2 linked regions of the Schizosaccharomyces pombe genome follow. Changing the gene in region 1 together with any one later gene gives a genetic interaction. Each region holds a gene or a part of one and is shown on either strand. Other genes may lie near its edges. The genes, in order: wsp1 and ubp9.

The links.
Region 2: mutations in wsp1 (region 1) and ubp9 are lethal when combined (synthetic lethality), as found in Schizosaccharomyces pombe (one study listed by BioGRID).

Annotation. Positions count from the first base shown.
Region 1 is NC_003424.3:4,858,402-4,867,978, forward strand, and holds wsp1 (actin assembly factor), read right to left. Parts: upstream 5,107-9,577; 5' UTR 5,048-5,106; coding exon 4,832-5,047; exon of another isoform or gene 4,747-4,831; coding exon 3,406-4,746; exon of another isoform or gene 3,356-3,405; coding exon 3,223-3,355; exon of another isoform or gene 3,164-3,222; coding exon 3,129-3,163; 3' UTR 2,852-3,128; downstream 1-2,851. Other genes in the region: mpd2 (GYF domain protein), read right to left, coding at 1-1,412, 1,530-1,567; btf3 (nascent polypeptide-associated complex beta subunit), read right to left, coding at 2,218-2,627, 2,786-2,831; SPOM_SPAC4F10.16C (P-type ATPase), read right to left, coding at 5,560-6,136, 6,183-9,577. UniProt on the Schizosaccharomyces pombe protein: Has a role in regulating actin assembly, so regulating polarized growth.
Region 2 is NC_003423.3:2,932,746-2,942,375, forward strand, and holds ubp9 (ubiquitin hydrolase Ubp9), read left to right. Parts: upstream 1-3,406; 5' UTR 3,407-3,465; coding exon 3,466-3,492; intron 3,493-3,536; coding exon 3,537-3,644; intron 3,645-3,693; coding exon 3,694-3,707; intron 3,708-3,735; exon of another isoform or gene 3,736-3,764; coding exon 3,765-5,373; 3' UTR 5,374-6,017; downstream 6,018-9,630. Other genes in the region: GTPase Ypt1, read left to right, coding at 244-254, 423-546, 598-645, 709-805, 965-1,296; mitochondrial outer membrane lipid metabolism regulator Opa3, read left to right, coding at 2,237-2,344, 2,410-2,567, 2,686-3,076; SPOM_SPBC1703.13C (inorganic phosphate transporter), read right to left, coding at 7,286-8,221; top1 (DNA topoisomerase I), read right to left, coding at 9,292-9,630. UniProt on the Schizosaccharomyces pombe protein: Ubiquitin C-terminal hydrolase involved in regulating actin dynamics and/or endocytosis at cell tips and septa.

The sequences.
Region 1 (9,577 bases):
CACCTCTATTTTGTTCAGAGCTCTCCGGAAGATAATTGCTCAAAGGAAGATCGGTTCCTTGAGCATTCCAAGAGGCGTTTTGAACAGTTACAGGTGATAGAGGAACCAAGAAGGGTTCCAACTGGTTGCCCACCTGACGAATAAAAAAGGCAAGAGAGTAATACTCTTCTTCTTCTAGCCTCTTTATTGGCAAGCCAAGAGGAAAATAACCAGCTCTATACCATTGATGCATATCTACTCCAGTAAAGGGGCCTTGGACATTATTTTGAGGGTCTTTATAAAGCCAATGCAGAAGAGCGGGAGGAATTAACGAAGCCAAGTGCTGAGGAAACGCCTCCGAAGAAAACATAGCTGTAGAGGGAGACATAGCAGCCGCAGGACTATTGACAGCAGAATGCTCACGTTGAGATGCGCTTGGTGCAACAGGTTGGGACGCGTTCTCTTTAATAGATGCTTTAGCTTTGGCCTTATCAACAAGAATATTTAGTGGAGAATCAGTGTCTCTAATACTCATTGAATTTCCCACTGGAACGTTGGAATTAGTGGGAAATCGAGATGGACCTCTGCGTAGTGGGGACTGAGAGAAATCTGCGAGATTATCAACCTGTCCAACAGGAGAAGCCACGGATTGTGTTAAACCTGCAGATATTCCATTTGATGATCCAGAAGGATGGTAAGCAGAGCTTGATAGAATTTCAAGAGAATGAGTATTAGCTGAAGCAACATTCGGTTCCCCACCTGGTTGATTGCTTGAAGAAGTGTTCAAGTCAGGAAAAGTATCAGAACCAGCACGCTGCGGCTGTTGCAAAGTCCCAACACCGGGATTCATATTACCAGAAACCGCTGAGCGACTTTGAGAAAATGAAGAAGGGCTGCGATCTAATACAGGACGATTGATATGATTAAAAGGGCTCCCCAGTTTGGGAGAAGCTGTGCCCGTTGTTATAGAATTCGAGGATGGAAAACAATCCCTTAAAAATCCAGGAGATATGCCCTCATTAGAAAAAGCGTTTGTAAAAGAGGTGTTGGCATTTTTAGAATTAAACAAATTGGTAGACATATCAAAGGTGCTACTTGGATTATTTGCAACAACTGGATTTTTATAAAAAGGAGAACCACCATTTGAAACAATGGCTGGGTTTGCTGATGAGGTTGTTGACGATACTGTAGGATTTTTGCTAGTCAATTCAGAAGGTGCATTTAAAGAGTCCCACATATTGCCACTTTTTAAAGACAGTTTTCTTTGTGAATCCAATTTTGCAGAAACAGAAGGGTCAATATGAGACGATGTAGGAGAATCCACTCCATTTGTGGCAGTAGGTTTAGTAAAAGATGTTAACTGAGGAAAAGCACCAGTTGTTGAAGAACTCGAGTTATTTGCTTTTTTATGTAACGAATGTGCCAGCTGGCTCCTACAAAACATAAGTTGTTAGTACAAGGCAATTTGAAACTCAAAGTATTTCAAGCGTATCAGAAACGCAATTTTTTGAAAATCGTAAAATGTGGTAAATCCCAGGAAAAAAACTTACCAATCCATATTACTAAATACACTTGCTTCTGAATTCATAATTTTAGCACTTTCTCTCTTAAAGTAAAAAATCCTTGTTATCTTTTAACAACCAGCAAATCTGTTTGTTGTAAAGGTTTTAGGTGGAAAAACGTAACAATAACGCCGTTGCAATAAATAACGACAAATACAGCTGAGCGGGGGTAGCGGCGACAATCGTGTGGGGGAGATGCACTTACTGTGGAACGTGGGTGTTCTGCAATAATTGCCTACCACGCCGCATCGAAAATTTAGTTTATTGAAATTAGCGATTCCTATTAACAATACGAAGTAAATGCTTAACGTAGGCTAATTTCCGCAATTCTTGAATAAGTCCAAACCATCTTTAAAAAGATTATTGCCAAGCTTACTTATAAGGAAAATGACAGCAAAGATTTTTTAACCAAATTAATCAAAGAAAACTATATATTGAAAATGGTTGAATTGTATAACCTTAACAAGTACAAGAGAGACCTCTTGTACCTTGCCAACGTGCATTTACAAAGCGTCAGTATATCCCTCGCTTACTGCACTTAAATTTGCTAAAATCTTTATCTTACGAATTACATAATTACGATTTTTCAAATTACTGATAATACCATAGTCACTTTACATATATTAGCACCCAAATCTTGAGTCAAAAATCCGACATGAAATATTTTGTTGCTTATTTAATCTTGTTCGTCAAACTTTTCGACAAGGTCAGGAATTTCTCCATCGTCGGCTTGTGCATCAGCTCCCTTTTCACCTTCACTGACCTTTAATTGCTCAGCCATTTGACGAAGGGCAGTCAAGGATTCAGGACCAAGGTTGTTCAAAATGCCAGGCAAAATCTCAGACAAAGTCTTTTCCTCTGCTTTACCATAGATAGCTGTAGTTTCATTAGGAAGCGAGGAATGAACGGTAGGTGCACGGAAATTAATGACTCCGCCATCTTCCTTGAACATGTTAACCTCTTGGATGCCAGCAAGGTTTTGCATATTCAACTTTTTCAAGGCACCTTGAACCTTCTTGTCATCAGCAGCACTCATGGCAGACTTAGAAGGCTTCTTCACCTTACGACGAGGGGTACCCTTTCCACCTATACAATGATAAGTTAATTAAGCAGTTCTCTATGAAAAAAGTACAACTGTGTTTTCAATAGCCAGCATCAATTACAGTGGAACCACTTTGAAACCGTTCAAGGCATTTCTTAGAGCTGGTGTCAACTTCAAAACACGGGGATGCATTCGAACATACCAATACGAGCGCCAGCCTGCAACTTAGCCAATTTGGAGGGATCCATTTGTTTCTATTTGACCAAACGTTTTTGGTTGTGGAAGGACTTGAACTTGACGTTTCTAAAGTTGTGGTACCGAAATGTGTGACTGCTCCCATACTTACAATAAAGTAAAGATACACACTGTGTTGCGATATATGAATAGTAATATCAACACAAATTCGCGTTATTCAATTTAGAATAAATGGTGTTTGCTCTAATACAATAAACACAAATCCAAATAAAAATAGTGAAGTCGTTTAACAAAACTTTAAAAGACTGTGTGAATCAAAAAAGTATAGGTAATTTCAAAGATATTAATAACTAGTCCCACTCATCGTCGTCTTCATCCTCTTCGTCTGAAAGAATTAGTAAACTTAAGAACTTTTGAAAAAAAATACGAGAAATCCGGACATACCACTCTGAGCGACTTTGGTTTTACGTTGGTTCAAAGCGCTTGCCAATGCATCCATAAGATTGTTAGAAGGGGGTGCTTCTACCGGAGGATTCGAAGTTTTTGTAGATGCGACACTAGGAGAAGCAGATACTTTCTGGAAAATATTAGTACGAGTAACCATTAAGTAATAATATCAATACTTACCCTGCTTTTCAGTAAATCCATACCACCGCTGGCTCTGATACTGGCCATTAAATTAGCACGGCCGTCTTGTTGAGGCAATTCAGCTATCGAAGCAACAGGCGCGGCGGGCGCAGGAGCTGGAGCTGGAGGAGGAGCTGGTGCAGCGGGAGGCAATGGTGGAGCAGCTGGCATACCAGCGGGTAGAGGAGGAGCAATTGGTGCACTAGGTGGTAGGGGGGGAGCAGCTGGTGCGCCCATAGGTAGAGAAGGTGGTGCACTGGGGGGCAAAGATGGAGGTGCACTAGGAGGAAGAGAAGGAGGTGTAGGGACAGGAGGTGTGCTTGTTCGTGATGCATTACCAAGAGGGGGAAGTGCAGGCGCAGAACGACCAGGAATAGCTGGAGGAGGGGCTGGTGGGTTTGAAACTGCACGAGATGAAGATAAAGGGGGTGGTTGTCTCCCAGTGGAAGGAGCAGACCTTGGAGGAGGTGGAGGAGGAGCAGATCTACCTTGAGGCGGCAAAGGAATTGAGCCAGCAGCATTAGATCTAGGAGGTGGTGGAGGTGGAGGAAGAGACGAGTTAGAAGAACCATTACCAATCGGTGGTTTACCACGATTACGACGGGATGGAGGCGGAGGCGGAGGAGGTCGTTTTTTGTTAGCAGCTAGAGCTGCCGCACTGACTCTTGAAGATGGTGGAGGGAGTGGAGGTTTCGAGGTGGAATTAATAGCAGGATTCATCGAAACAGGAGCGATAGGACGGGGAGGGGAGTTAGGAGGAGAAGAGACAGTTCCATTAGATGGAGGTGGAATTGGGGGAGGAGCAGGTGCAGACAAAGAAGGAACACGCTCTGGGGGACGAGAGGAAGGAATGCTTGGAGGGATGGGAGGTGCAGAAGTACTGGTAGGTGTACCAGCTGATTCATTAAGGTACGCTTTGACGAAATCTGCGTTTTCAGCAATTTGATCCTGGGAAATGCCCATCTTCATTAGAGAATCAATTAAGCTCGGATCAAGCGAATTTAAAAGCTCGGGCTCATTGGGACTTTTAGATCCAACAGCATTATAATTTTCCTTTCCAGGTACAGGAGGAGCAGCTGAGGGAGGTTGGATATTGCTGTTGTTAGGCGCATGTCTAGAAGAACCTTTTCTGGTAATAAATGACAAAACCGGATTCTCAATTGATTCAGGATGGCAACCTTTATCTAAAACCTTTTTGTAAAATTTTTGAGCGTCTGTCTCGTTTGCAAAACTAAAACCTGCTAGGCATTTATCAAGCTCGAAAGAATGAAAAAATGTACGATCTTGGCGATAGTCCATATTTTGATAAAGCTCTTGGTCCCATATTATACCACTATTATTCTAAAACGTTAGAAGGTTATAATTCAATTAAATTGTATACCACTCTTTGTAGTTTGCTTTGAGTATCAAAGCTTCATACACATACCACAACGTCAACCAGTTTAAACCAACAGCATTTTGCTGTTGTATCATAGGACAATACAAGAGCACCACAAAGACCTGTATAATTCCATTTGTTCGGATCAGGATAAGCTACATATAGCTTGACGACGGCTGCTGCAATGATTTTATTTGTGCTTTTAGGTATGTATTTACGGATAGTTGCCTTATCCTCTTGAGTTATAGAGGAAGATGGAGGCATTTGAATTTTCGGATTGTAATGCAATTCAAAAATTGCTGTCTCACAGTGGTATAAGTGGTGTTTTGGTTCCTCCCGTTTGTTAGCATTTTCACTGTAGTTAACAAGCCAATGAGTGATAATTAGTGTAGTATACTATACTACGCTATGTACTATAAAAATTTGCAACGCACTTATTAGCAGCTGGTAAATTTTGCTAATTATATTAACTGTTTATAGATTAATAAAACTTGAGACATTAATTCGGGTTTAATATTTTTTACATTCTACATACTTATCGTCCTCATTGTAAAGAGGTAAATAAAATTTATTCAACCATACGAAGTTTGCTTGTCTCATAATGTTAGTTTATTATAAGATTATTAAAAAAATGACTTAATCATAATCATTAATTATTAGAAAAAAAAGGGAACATTAAGAAAAAGTCATTCGTGATGTTGAGGATAATAAAAAGACTCTCGTCCGGTAGGAGTAGTATAACTACATAAACAAACAGTGCGAACTCAGATGTATGGCTACTTATTAGAATCATCGAATGAAACTGAAGTAACAATACCGGAATTTTTTTTCGAACTTAATGGGTCGTTACATTGTTCGCACATTTCTATATCTGTTGCAAATGATGAACTACTGCTAGTCTCATCATCTGACTTTGCACAAAGTCGTCTCCGTAAAAGGTCAATATCTCTAGGATAAAACAATTTTTGTAAGCAAATATAGGAAAAGCGAGGCAACAAACATAAGGCAATGGTTAAAACAGTAACACACCAAAAGCCAAAAGTTTGACAAGTTCGCGAAGCTGATTTGTGGAAAGCGTAAGAGGGGCCAACTTCTGAATAAATAAATGTCCATATCCAAAATACACCTATGCTGAACATCCAAGTAATAAGTGATATTAAATTCAATCTCTCTTGATTCATCAATATAAAAATGTTGATTACAAAAATAGTAGGAGAGGATATAAAAAGTCCTATGTCTTCTATACACTCGATGTTCCTTCCAGTCCAACTTACAAAATCACCAAACTTAAAAACAAATAGAGCTACCCCAAAGCATACCAATGATTGATATATTCCATCTAGCATGTAAGACCTAAAATAAATATTTAGCAAACAGAAATCTTCAGAGTTATACTTACCAAAATCTCTTTCCGTTCCATTCTAGACCTAAAATTCCCCGTTGGTATAAGCTTGGATTTTTCATTGAAACAGATGCGTCAACGTCCTGGTCAAAACAACCTGCAATAATTACGGGTAGTGATGTGAACAGCAGATTAAAAAGCATCACGTAGGTATAATCAAATATGTAGTTTCCATCAAACTCGTTATAAAATTGATACCAAAAAAGTATAAATGTCCAAATAACATTTTTGTAAAAAAAGAATGAAATCATTTGAGACATTCTTTTATAGTCCCATCGTCCATGAACTAGAAGTAGTCGCCCTAGGAAAGAAAATTGACCGATGGCATAATCCGCCGACATTGAAGCTGCTTGCCCTTCAACGCCTTTTATCCCTACTCCAACGTCGGCTTCTTGAATCATCGAAACATCATTAGCGCCATCTCCAATTGCTAAAGTGACAACATTTAGACTCTTCTTGACTAAAGCAACAACAGCTGCCTTCTGAGAGGGACTAACCCTGCAGCACAAAACTGTCTTACACTGCTTACATAACATTAAAAAAAGAAAAGAGACCTGTTCAGACAAAACAAAGTTCAGGGCATCCCCATCAATAACTATGGCGTGTTTCGGAGATGGCGGACTGTGGTCTTTCAACAAAAATCTGAATTCTTCATCCGTTCCCATGTATCCAAAATTAAAGCATAATGTGTTTCTAATAAAAGCTTCTACTTCTTCTAAGGCACCGAAAGAGTTTGCATCAATTCGAAAAATAGTCATGTTTGGATCAAGAAGATTGCATGAATACCCAATGTTGATTGCCGTTTCTACCTTATCACCAGTCAACACCCACAACTTAATTCCAGCAATAGCCAAAAGAGCGATAGTTTCTGGTACATTCTCTTGAAGTTTATCTTCAATTGCTGTTCCACCGAGTAATTCAAGCTCTTGCTCAATCATCTCTGAAACTTTACTGACCTTTTCGTTCCGTTCATGAATGGCACTATTAGCTTCGTTGAAATTCACTTTCCATTCAAGATAATCTTGCTTATCAATAGTTCGACGAGCGATACATAACGTACGAAATCCTTCGGATGAAAATGAAGCTAAATGCTTCTTCGTCTTTTCAATGATATTGTTTTGTCCGCTGGAAAGCCTTGGAAATATTACCGTATCCGCACCTTTACAAATTAAATGAATTATACCATCCTCATCACGAATTATCACGCTCATACGCTTTCTCGTAGAAGTAAAAGGGATTATATCCAAAACTCGAAAATTCTTATTTTCACCCCTAATGCGAATAGTATAGCGTCTGTTTTTTGTATTTAGAAGCGTAAACCCGAAATCACGAGCAACTTTCACTAATGCTTCTTCGTCTGGAGACTGAGCATTGTAAATAAGTGTTTCGTCTTGGACGTCTGTTACCACAGAATGGCAAAGAGCGAGTGCTTTAAAAAATTCGAAGCAGGCTTCAGTTTGAATATAATTTTCGTTGGATTGCAGATGGTCGACGAATTTACTTGAAATGAAAGTGATTGATTCTGGGTTAGGTGAGTCGCTTAAACTTAATGTCTCAAGCATTTTCTTTTTATCCAAGTCAACCTTGCATGATAAGTTTTCATTGTAATTTAAATTCCTTCGTTTTTTGATGCATGTATCTTCATTGTGACTTTTGCCATAGCGAATACCGTTAATTGAACATTTTTTAAAACTCATTATATTCTGAGTAAGAGTTCCGGTTTTGTCTGAAAATATGTACTCTATTTGTCCAAGGTCATCGGATATGTTCCACGATTTCGGAGAACAAGGACAGTCTAGTTTTTCATCATACATCTCTCGATCACTAAAAATAAAATAGGACTGTATGCTTCTAACAATGTCCATAGTGATATATAGAGAAATCGGCACTAAATTTTGAAAAAGAATGAGGGAAGTGAAAATGCTGATGATGCCATGCGCAGGAGCGGTGTTTGAATTTTTTGATAGCTCAAACACCCTTGCAGAGTTGTTCTGAGCTGAATAGATAGAGCGTAACACACCAGAAAATAAACACATAGCAAACAATAATAGAAAATTGAGAATTATTGTCCAATTCAAGTCACGAGTAATGCGACTTCGTTTAGAAGGAGTTAACCCTCGATTTTTCTGTATGCGAGTTTCTGATCCTGTATATAAAACAAGACCAATAACCCATTTTGAATTTCTCAGAGTACACCCACACAGTAGAACGTTAGAAATACTAAAAGGTTCTTCATGTATTTTTCTTCCGTTTGTACTCTCAGACGGTGATTGCACAGCGCCGGGTGCTTTGACGACACCGTTCAAACTGTACAGATCAGCATGAGGCTGTTCACATTCAACCCAAAAAGATGCCGCACTACACCTATACTCTGATTTACAGCATTTTGTTGAGCATAATGCGTATTTATCTTTCAAATTAGTTTCACCATCAAGGTTTTTTGTTTCCACATAGCAAACACCGTTTGAGTTTTCTGTGCTTAAGATGAGCAAGTCAGCAGGAATCGCTTCATCAGCCAAAACCTTAACGATATCGCCCACAAGCAAACTTTTCCTACACACACGCTCAAATTTGGCATTCGATGAGCCTGTTGATTGTTCCTGGATGACAGAAAAGCTGTTGGAAGGACCACTGTTACCAATCTCATGAATCTCAAGACTATCTTGTGAAACAGATGATAAAGTAAAGGCAGAGTCGGATTCGAGACTGTGCCTGTGGGATATATTATCCACGGTTAAGGTAGCGAGCCCAGATGAGATACCGGAATTTTTAAGGCAATAGGACATATCGGCGACGGTATGAGAAATAAATTTTTTTAATTTTCTCCATAATCCAATATGCTCGCCTAATGCATTGGCATTATTGAACCCTACCAATTTCCAAGTTAAGGTATTATTAAACTTCTTATCAAGAACACATCTCCGATAATCCTCAATTCCATCCTTAATAGCTGTAGTAAGCAAAATAACACTCAAAGGAATAAACGATAAGCCCAGGTGCTCGGGACAAAACAACGGAATACATTGAAGAAGAGTGACAAACAAAAAAAAAGCATTTGCTATGTTTTTAAATTGATTCCAAAGATTTTTGGGGATAAACGAAACTGGAGTATACTTGGTTGTGCGAATTTTATTACTAGGAAACCATTGCGATGGTAAATGCCTGTGTTCTTCTGGAATGCTAGTTACGTAAATTCTGCGAACAGAAGCATCTCCACTTTCGGTCCCAGCTTCATTCTTCTTTGATGTAACACGGCTAGTCCATGACTGATCTGAGTTGTTACACGAACCTTCAAAAGAGTTAGCTTCCTCATCATCCCTCGAACGTTGTTCCGCATGTGCTTCTTGTGAAAACTGGCTTTCGTGATGACGAGAAGAATAATCAGTTTGGTT
Region 2 (9,630 bases), on another chromosome or scaffold:
TTAATTAACTTGAGTGAAGCCTTTGTCTGCACATATAATATATTTGTTTTGAAAACATATGAAATACTACGGAAAGTTAAGATACGCTAAACGAAATAACGATACTTAATATAATTAGCAGCATGATAGTAAAAGATTTGCCCGTGAGCATTCTTTGGGCTGTAGGGTCCCCCACTCCGCTGCGTTGGTATATGCGTAGACTGAAGCGAGCAACAGAACGTCCGCCATTACTGTGCATATACGATGAATCCAGAGTAGTAAGGATTTAGCATACTATTCAATACATCAGGAGCTAGAAATTAACAATTTATAGAGTATTTTCTTTCCAAAATTAAAGAATTCTTGTAAATTGGGCGATATAATTGCTAATCAATAGGTAATGAGTTTTTTTACCGTAAGAAGATGAATGCTAATATTAATAGATACGACTATCTCTTTAAGCTTTTACTTATTGGCGACTCTGGTGTCGGTAAGAGTTGCCTTCTTCTACGTTTTGCCGATGACACTTATACTGAATCCTATATCTCTACTATCGGAGTTGATTTTGTACGTCCGTTTTCAAGCAGCTTAACCATATTTATTGCTAACTTTTTTTAGAAAATCAGAACTTTTGAATTAGAGGGAAAGACTGTTAAACTTCAAATCGTAAGTGATAGTTTACTTCTCGTTGGCGTTCCGGGATATTTTTTTATTAACGATTTATCATAGTGGGATACCGCTGGTCAAGAACGTTTCCGTACAATTACTAGCTCATACTATCGTGGAGCTCATGGAATTATCATCGTATACGATGTTACCGATCAAGGTATGTAATGTGTGAAGTATGGAAAACCAATTTGATTGTCTTCCGTTTTCTGTATATGCGCGTATATGCGTTATAAGGCGTTTGGGGGATATTTTTATGGCGTTTTCTAGTCTTCACATTGTTTCCGACGCGGTTCCGAGGCTAATGCTTGCTTCTTAGATTCTTTCAACAATGTTAAGCAATGGCTTCAGGAAATAGATAGATATGCCGTTGAAGGAGTCAATCGTCTTCTTGTAGGAAACAAGTCAGATATGGTTGATAAGAAGGTTGTTGAATATTCTGTTGCTAAGGAGTTTGCTGACAGTTTGAATATTCCTTTCCTCGAAACGTCTGCTAAAGATTCTACAAATGTTGAGCAAGCTTTCTTAACTATGTCCCGTCAAATTAAGGAACGTATGGGAAATAATACATTTGCCTCTTCCAATGCCAAATCTAGTGTCAAGGTTGGTCAGGGCACTAACGTTTCCCAAAGTTCCAGCAACTGCTGCTAAACTACATGTTTGTTGGTTATACCTCTGAATGCGCTTTTAATATATTTTTATATACATACGTTTTACGTACTTCGCTGTCATTCCTTTTGTGAGTTTCATTCGCTGACGGTGAACTGCTAATATTAGGTATCTACTTTCTGAGTTTTTACGATACTTATAGAAAGTTATTTGTAGGTTTGGATGCATGCTACGTTTCCCTTTTATCAACGGTAGTTTAAAATCTTAAGCAAAGCTATGTAGAAAACTGCTAGTCTTATGTACTTTATTTTGTAGCGTGATATGATAAACTGTTGTAAACGTTGTATAATACGCGTATTGCTCATTAACTAGCACTTTACAGTATTCCCTAAAACTATAGTTGCTTGGAACTATTTGCATAACATACGGTTCGCTAACAAAAGTCATTAACTAAAAATCAAATATATAATAGTAAGTCAAAGGTTGAATGGTATGTACGTTACATTAAGAAATGAAAATACAACTGTACTACTAAGGACAAGTATTGATAACTGCGACACTAAAGTTTCTAATACAAGCAAAATATTAAGCACACACAGGGATCGGTGTAAGAAGGATTAGTAAACCAATCAGAGAAACCGACAGAATATGCATATCAAGTTCAGCAACATCAAATTTACTTTCCTCTTCCAATAACTTTTCTAATTAATAGATTAAAAAAATAAAGCACGCACTTGGTGTTGCGGTTTTAAATATTGCTATTGATTAACGGAAGAGTATATCTTCGACCTTGCATAAATATCCTAGCTATTGTTACACGCTTATATCTGCATTCTAATTTTATCGGAGATTTCTTTCTTTTATACCTCTATTTAATTGAGGTGGTAGTACTTTTAGTCGGTAATTTGAAATCCTTTGCGGGTTTATTCCCCCTCGAATATTTTTGAAGTTCTGGTATCCATTAACATTTCTCTACAATCCAATGTCTTCTCTAGCCTTAAAAATCGGAAGCTTGTTAGTAAGAACATTATCCAAACCGATTGCCAATACAATCAAAGCCCAAGCTAAAGAGCACAAGGCTTTCCGAAAGGTATAAATCAGTAAAATAGATGATAAAGAGAATCTTATAGCATTACTAACGAAATTTCTATATAGGCATGTATTGAATTTGCTCAATGGATGCATCGCGCGGAATTTAGAATAACAGGAATTAACAGAGCTAAAAGTGGAGGAGCTAATGTACGATTACGACCTTTAAACGATGCCAAAGCAGTCGATGCTGGTGCAACATTTTTATCAGAAACTTTTATATTGTATGAAAATTAATACGATTTGACGTACTTCCTCTCCACAATGCTTAATACGGCACATTGTGAAGGAGCTACGAAATCCAACTTGTCACAATGTTCTTCTCTTGCTAACAATTTACAGTACTGTTGCTGGAGGAGCCATTTTATTTGAAACATGGAGGGCTCGTAGAAAGGAAAAGAATAGACGAGATGAAGTTGCTGAAGCGATTCTTGGTTTACAACATGAAATCGTTCGTATTAACGAAATCATGGAAAAGCAGTTTGTTTTACAGAAGAAAAAGAATGAACTCCAATCTTCGACTGAGGAAATTGATAGTACCGAAAAGGATTTTGACGAACTCCACAAAGTCATTCTTAAAGTTGAACGTGAGCTCCATACTCTTCGTCAAAACACGCCAAGTCAGAACGAGCAAGCAGAAGCCACTCCTTCAAAGGAAATCCCACGTGAAACAGTCTCAGAAAAGGCAGATCATCCTCCATCTTCTAACACCAAATCGGTTTCTACAGGTTAGTGGATGGTGAATACTACGATTACACATAACTTGCATTAATGAGTAAATTTTGATACATTGCAGAAATTCATCTGTTCCCATTTCACCAAACTGATGTTTACTTTCTTTTAATTTATTGTACATTTGATACTTCGTTTAACCAGATCACATTTCCAAAATTAGTTACGGTTTATTTATAGCTTTTTTGACTTAATATCTACTGAGTTTTATCGCTCATTTTACAATACATTGCACTTCGTTATTTTAGATAGTTGGCTGTTAATATAATAATAGCCTAAGATTATGATCACCAACGTACGCCCCTTTCTGAGCGCGTGAAAGCTTCCCTTTGCGTTCACTTCCCCGCTGTGCTTGGTTTGTAAACTTAGCATCCTTTAGTTCAACTCAGCATGTCGCTGCTTCGTTGGATGGGAATGGTAATTCAATTGTTAGTTATGAATTGAAGACTGACAAACTATAGAATTCCCCAGGCTCCACTGACCGGCGTAAAAGCACTTGGGAAGCAGAGTTGCCGAAGCCATCAATTCGCCCTGAAACCCTAACAGATCGATTCTATGGTTTAACAAATGTAAGCATTTTTATTAGTTATAATTTCTTCTGCTCTAACATATTTTTAGTATGGAAATACATGGTATGGCGATCATACTTGTAGCGTTGCTTTTATGATTGTAAATTTCTAACGAAATAGTTACGTGAGTTCTGTCTTAGTATCTTTATACCATTTAAAGCCCTTTCGTGATTCTTTAAATTCGTATCCTCTTCCGAGTGCTCCTCCAAATTTTAAAAGCGTTTGTACAAAAACCAACCATCCTGAATCATCTTCCTCACGACACAGTAAGAAAAAGAGCATGGAGAATAGGAAGTCCTCTTTATACGGGTCCAATGGTATAAATTCTTGCGGCTGTGTCGATATTAGTAACGTCGGCTCTGAATCCGGGACGAAGCATCAAATCGTTGTAGGCGAAAGCAATTGTTCTGCTTATGGAATGAAAGAAAACATATATACTTGTTTAAAGGATCTTTATTGCTCCGTAAGTTGCTGTGATTGTCGTTATGGTATTTGTTCTCCCGAGCGTTTTATCCAAGTTCTACGTAGAGACAATGAAGCTTTTCGCAGTACTCAGCAGCAAGATGCTCACGAGTTTTTTAATTTTCTTCTTAATTCTGTTACAGAAACTCTTGATGAATACTACGGTAATCATTCCGACGTGATGCATCCAAAATGGGTTCATTCTTTGTTTGAAGGAACGCTTACCAGCGAGACGAAATGTTTAACTTGTGAAAACATAACGTCAAGGGATGAAAGCTTTTTAGACCTTAGCATAGATATAGAAAATCACACTTCTGTAACTTCCTGTTTAAGGTCTTTTTCTGCTTCAGAGATGTTGTCCTCCAAAAATAAGTTTCATTGTGATGTTTGCAAAAGTTTGCAGGAAGCAGAAAAAAGAATGAAGATAAAAAAATTACCGAAAATCCTCTCATTACATTTGAAACGTTTTAAATATAACGAAACCCAGGAGGGCCATGATAAACTCTTCTATACTATTGTTTTTACCAACGAAATGAGATTATTTACTACCACCGAAGATGCAGAGAATGCTGAAAGAATGTATTATCTTTCCTCTGTTATTGTTCACGTAGGAGGCGGTCCACATCGTGGTCATTATGTGTCTATCGTTCGCACTAAAACTTATGGCTGGGTCCTTTTTGATGACGAGAACGTAACTCCTGTCAACGAGAATTACCTACAACGATTTTTTGGTGATCAACCTGGTCAGGCTACTGCCTATGTTCTATTTTATACTGCTGCTGATGAAGAAGATGATGATGTTAGTGAAGTAGACACCAAGGAATCAATTAAGCCGATGTCTATTCCAAGTCAACTTAAACAAGAAAGCGTGGAAGTTTCGAATCTATCAAGTACCCCTAGATCAAACTCGACAATAACATATCCTGATATGGATCCGATGGTTGCTTCATTTTCTTCGCAGTATTCTCATAAAACTTTAGATAGAGACATCAATAGCCGTTCTTATTTTGATCGTGAACCATCACTGGATGCAGAAAGATTTCATTCAAGATCTGTTGATGCTTCTCCAAAAGCCGTACGTCGCGAAAGTCGTTCGTTTTTCCCTTCCCTTACACGAAAAAGAAGTAAATTTTTTGGATCATCCCAAAGCAACTCCCCTAAAGATTCACCATTAAGGGATACTCACAAGTCTAGTGATGAACATTCAGAGTCGAAGCACTCACATACGCTTCCTTGGCAATTCTCTAGAAGCCGTTCCAAAAGGTAAAGAATTCTTATTTGTGTTTTTTATTACACTTTTCGAGAAATTCTTTTAATGTTTTCATCTCTCATCGTTTTACTTTATATTTTTGACTTTATTTGGAAATTTTGGCCAACTTTGAAAGTCATGCGCTCTATTTATCCATATGTCACTTTTTTAATTCTTTGAATTCAGTTATTTCTCTGTGTTTATACCTTTTGGCCTTTTTCTGGTTTTTATAATATTGTTTACCGCTCGAGGTTTCATTTTTAACACACGCGTACTACAGTGATTGGTCTTCGTAATTATCTGTTGCGGTATTCAATTTTTGCTATTATGTCTTTTTATAATTGAAAATTTATGACTTTAAACTCCTAAAAGTAGCTTATCTGCTATTTCTTCTCGTTGTTCCCAATTTGAACGGCAACCTTCATACATCGAATTCGAAATTTTTTGGTTGTGACAAATTAATCGATTAAGATTATCTTACTCCTTGTCTTAGCATGAATTTAAGGTAATTAGTGTGCTTAGAATTGTTAATATTATTAATCATGATACTGCAAAATTTACTTGTTGTTTTCTTAAAGATACTATTTACCATGCATATATTATCAATTTTCTTAAGTATACTTTGAATAGCATATTTCAATATAGAGCTTTTCTTTAACAGATTTTTATTTATTTCATTATACATTATTTCATTTTATTTTTATTCATATCGACTTAATGTAAAGCAGCTTTATAATTTAAAAAATTTAGTTTGTTCAATTTTCAGGACAATTGGATGCTAAGTGTATTTTCTGAAAATGGTCTTGAAGTTGTTACAGTATTTGGTTCCTTATAGAAACCATTGTTTTAAGGCAACTTTTTTTTTTTTTAAGGGTTGTAGTATTGTTTAAATTATATGCTTAAGCAATGAAGAGGTTCCGATCTAATAATTATTTAAGTCTATCTTGTAAACTTTTCCGGATAAAACAGGATATGTGTTTATTTTCAATTTTAAAGCTTTATATAAATTAGATTTTTTAATTGAAAATGAGAAAAATTTTTTTAACCTAAATTCTACATGTTTATTTGCTAAAAAACTAGGGAACTTAGGATTTAACAATAATTAATAATAGTTGATCGACCCTTCTTCTAATTGAAATAACAAGTTATAATAGAATTAATTTTTTAACAATGAAAAGTATCAATGTACAATGACAATCCAAATTTAATATAACAATCAGACCTGATTTACGTTTTGGTAATCGAAATGCATTATTCTTTTTGTAAGCTATATACGAAATTTTGTTAATGTAGTATTTATTCAAGGTTAATAAATTTAACATCAAAGCGATTAATGCGAGGAATATTGATAAAAACAAAACACTACAGAAGCCAATGAAGGTTTAACATCGAATAGTTAACACAGTACTACACATGAGTTGTCGAACAAATTATATTATGTCAACTGTATAATCGCAATTTAGTCAATTGCGATTTAAATAGTTAATGGAACCAGGATTAAGAAGTCAATTAATATTTGTATGAATTGAATCTCTTATTGCATATCTAATATTGTAAACACTTCTTGCTAAATCATCTGTAATATAATTTCCTCTTACTCTTTACATGCAAATTGGCCGTTTGGTCTAGTGGTATGATACCATCTTAGGGTGATGGTGGTCGTGGGTTCGATTCCCACAACAGCCCAAATTTTTATGACTCACTTCATTAGTTGAAAACGCTAAAATACTAATCACATCTTCCATAAGCTGATATATACTCCTGAAAACACTTAAGAGTTACAGAAAAAGGAACTACACGTTCAAAATTTACATATAAATTTAAACACTGATAAAACAGTAAAACTTGTTAAGAGCCTATAAGAGAAAGTGGGGGGAAATTTAAAAAGCGACGTTCCATAAAATGAAAGGTTTACTATACGATAGTGCATTTAAGCACCAGTGGCAGGGAAACCACACATAATCTTGAATGAATCGTAGATGAGCCATTGAGCACCAGTCAAAGTACCAATCATGACTATACGAACACCAAGACCATTCCAAAGACCAGAAAATCCAATCTCCTTGTAGATACGAGCAGCAGCAGCGCCAGCGCCCTCACCAGCCTTTTTGTTGGAATTCAACTTGGAAACCATAACATCAGCAGGATGACTGATAATGGCGCAAAGAACACCGGCCATGTAACCACCAGCAAAAGAAATACCAATCTTTTCGGCCTTTGAATACATGTTCTTGGGCTTGCCAATGTAGGTGTACAAAGCTTCGACAATGCGCTCAAAAGAAGCAAATTTCATCATGGTGTAAGGGATTTGGCGGAACCACAAAGGAGCCAGACCACGGTATAAAGTACCGAAACCTTCATTAGTGACAATTTTAGACCACGCTTCACGAGTGGTGTTGGCAAAACGAGGGTTGGAAGTTTGAACACGGACCTTGATAGCCTCCATAGGGCAAAGCATTATATCAGCCAACAATTCAGCAGAGGCAGAAGCAGCCAAGTAAATGCTTGTACGGTATTCATGTGCCTTTTGAGCACCAACCAAAGTAGAGTATTTGTGTTTGAACAACTCATAAAAACCGTACTTACCGCAGCCTTGAAGAGAATAACCAATCAAGGTGGGCATACCACCGGTATACAGACCGCGAAGTCCCTCCTTGCTGAGGATAGTCTTGAAACCAGCAATATTACCAGGGTAGATATTTGGATTGACTTGTTTGCGACATTTGATTAAATCCAAAGGGGTAATGGCACTGTGCGTAGTACCACAAGCCAACAAACCACCCAATGTACAAAGTCCGTAGTATTGGGGAGTGTAAAGCTGAAGGGTCTTTTTAGGAGGAGCAGGAGGTATCAAGGGGGTAGACATGATGAACTAATAAAGTGGGTATTTTAAAACAAAAAAAATGAAAAATATATCAACTGTTATGTTTCAAGATCCTTGATGACTACAAGCCTTTACAATCACAAGAAAAAAAACTTATCGTGAGTTCAAAGAACAAACCTTCGAGTTTGCGTTATAAACAGTTCTAAAAAATAAAAGAAAAAGAAATCTCCAACTAAGGCTATCTCCTATTGAGAAACTGCTAAAAATGAATATTTAGGAATCCGGTTGAGTAAATGTAGGTACTCGTAGAAGGTAGGATCCAAATGCTAGTGTGTTCATACTTTGTTTTACGTAATTTAATCTTTACCAACCCGATTGTATCCGCTCGTGGTTGCATTGGATTGCTCCAGCAAATAGTGAGACAAAATCTCTTCCACTGATATTTCTGCTATACCGGAACTTGTGCCAATCTGACAAAGAGAACGAAAAAGTGGAAACCGGGTTTAAAGATGCGAAAAAGGCAGTCAAATGTAAACGCTAGAGAAAAAAGTAATTTGGATGGTATAGAAGTGCTTGAAAAACTATTTAGTACAACCAAAGAAGAGTAATTGGTATAAAGATTAAAAAAGCAGCAGCTTGGCTTTTCTTTCCTTTTCTATTTGTAAAAAAAAAAAAACAAAAAAAAAATTGTTTACAAGAGTAAGTTTGCTTGTATATTGAATTTGATGATCGTAACAGGCATTTCACCAATATTAAAGAAAAAGACCTCAAGAGTAAACAGTAATTATGAAAAAAAAAGCCAAATGCAATGGGGATAGTATGAAATGTCACGTTCAATTTGTTTTGTGCTAAATTTTATTCTGTCTATATTTTTGCTGAAAAAACTTCCTTAGCTTTGCATTTTTTGTATGAATTTTTATTAAACACTAAACTAGAAGTAATTAATTCCTTCTTTCAGCACACTAAGTTGTTGTACGCTAGCATTCATTTCAAGACATCATTAAGTCACGAAATTACGAAGCACTTTCACAATTTGTCTGCCGTAGGATGATAATAAATAATTTTTTTTTAAAAAGTTCAATGAAAGATACTTTTCTTAAATCGTAGAGGACTTACCACTTCCAATCCGGAGGTGTATCAGCAGCCCAATTGAACTTGTCACGAATCGTCTTACTAAACAGCTTCTCAATAGGAACGTCTTCTCGCTTGCTGAACGAATAAGTAAGCCTCGGGTCTATGTAGTTAATCTTACTTGTACCCAAAGCAGTAGTTTTATTCTCGTCTTTATCGATCATCTGAGTACGCATAACATTAATTCGTTCATTGAGTTTGTTTAATCTTTTCTCAAGTTGTTCCATCGAAGAACGACCTGGATCGACTTTTTTGCTTTTAAGTTCAGCGTCCAGCGCTTTCTTCAACTCATCAGCCGCTTTCAATCGAACTTCCAATTC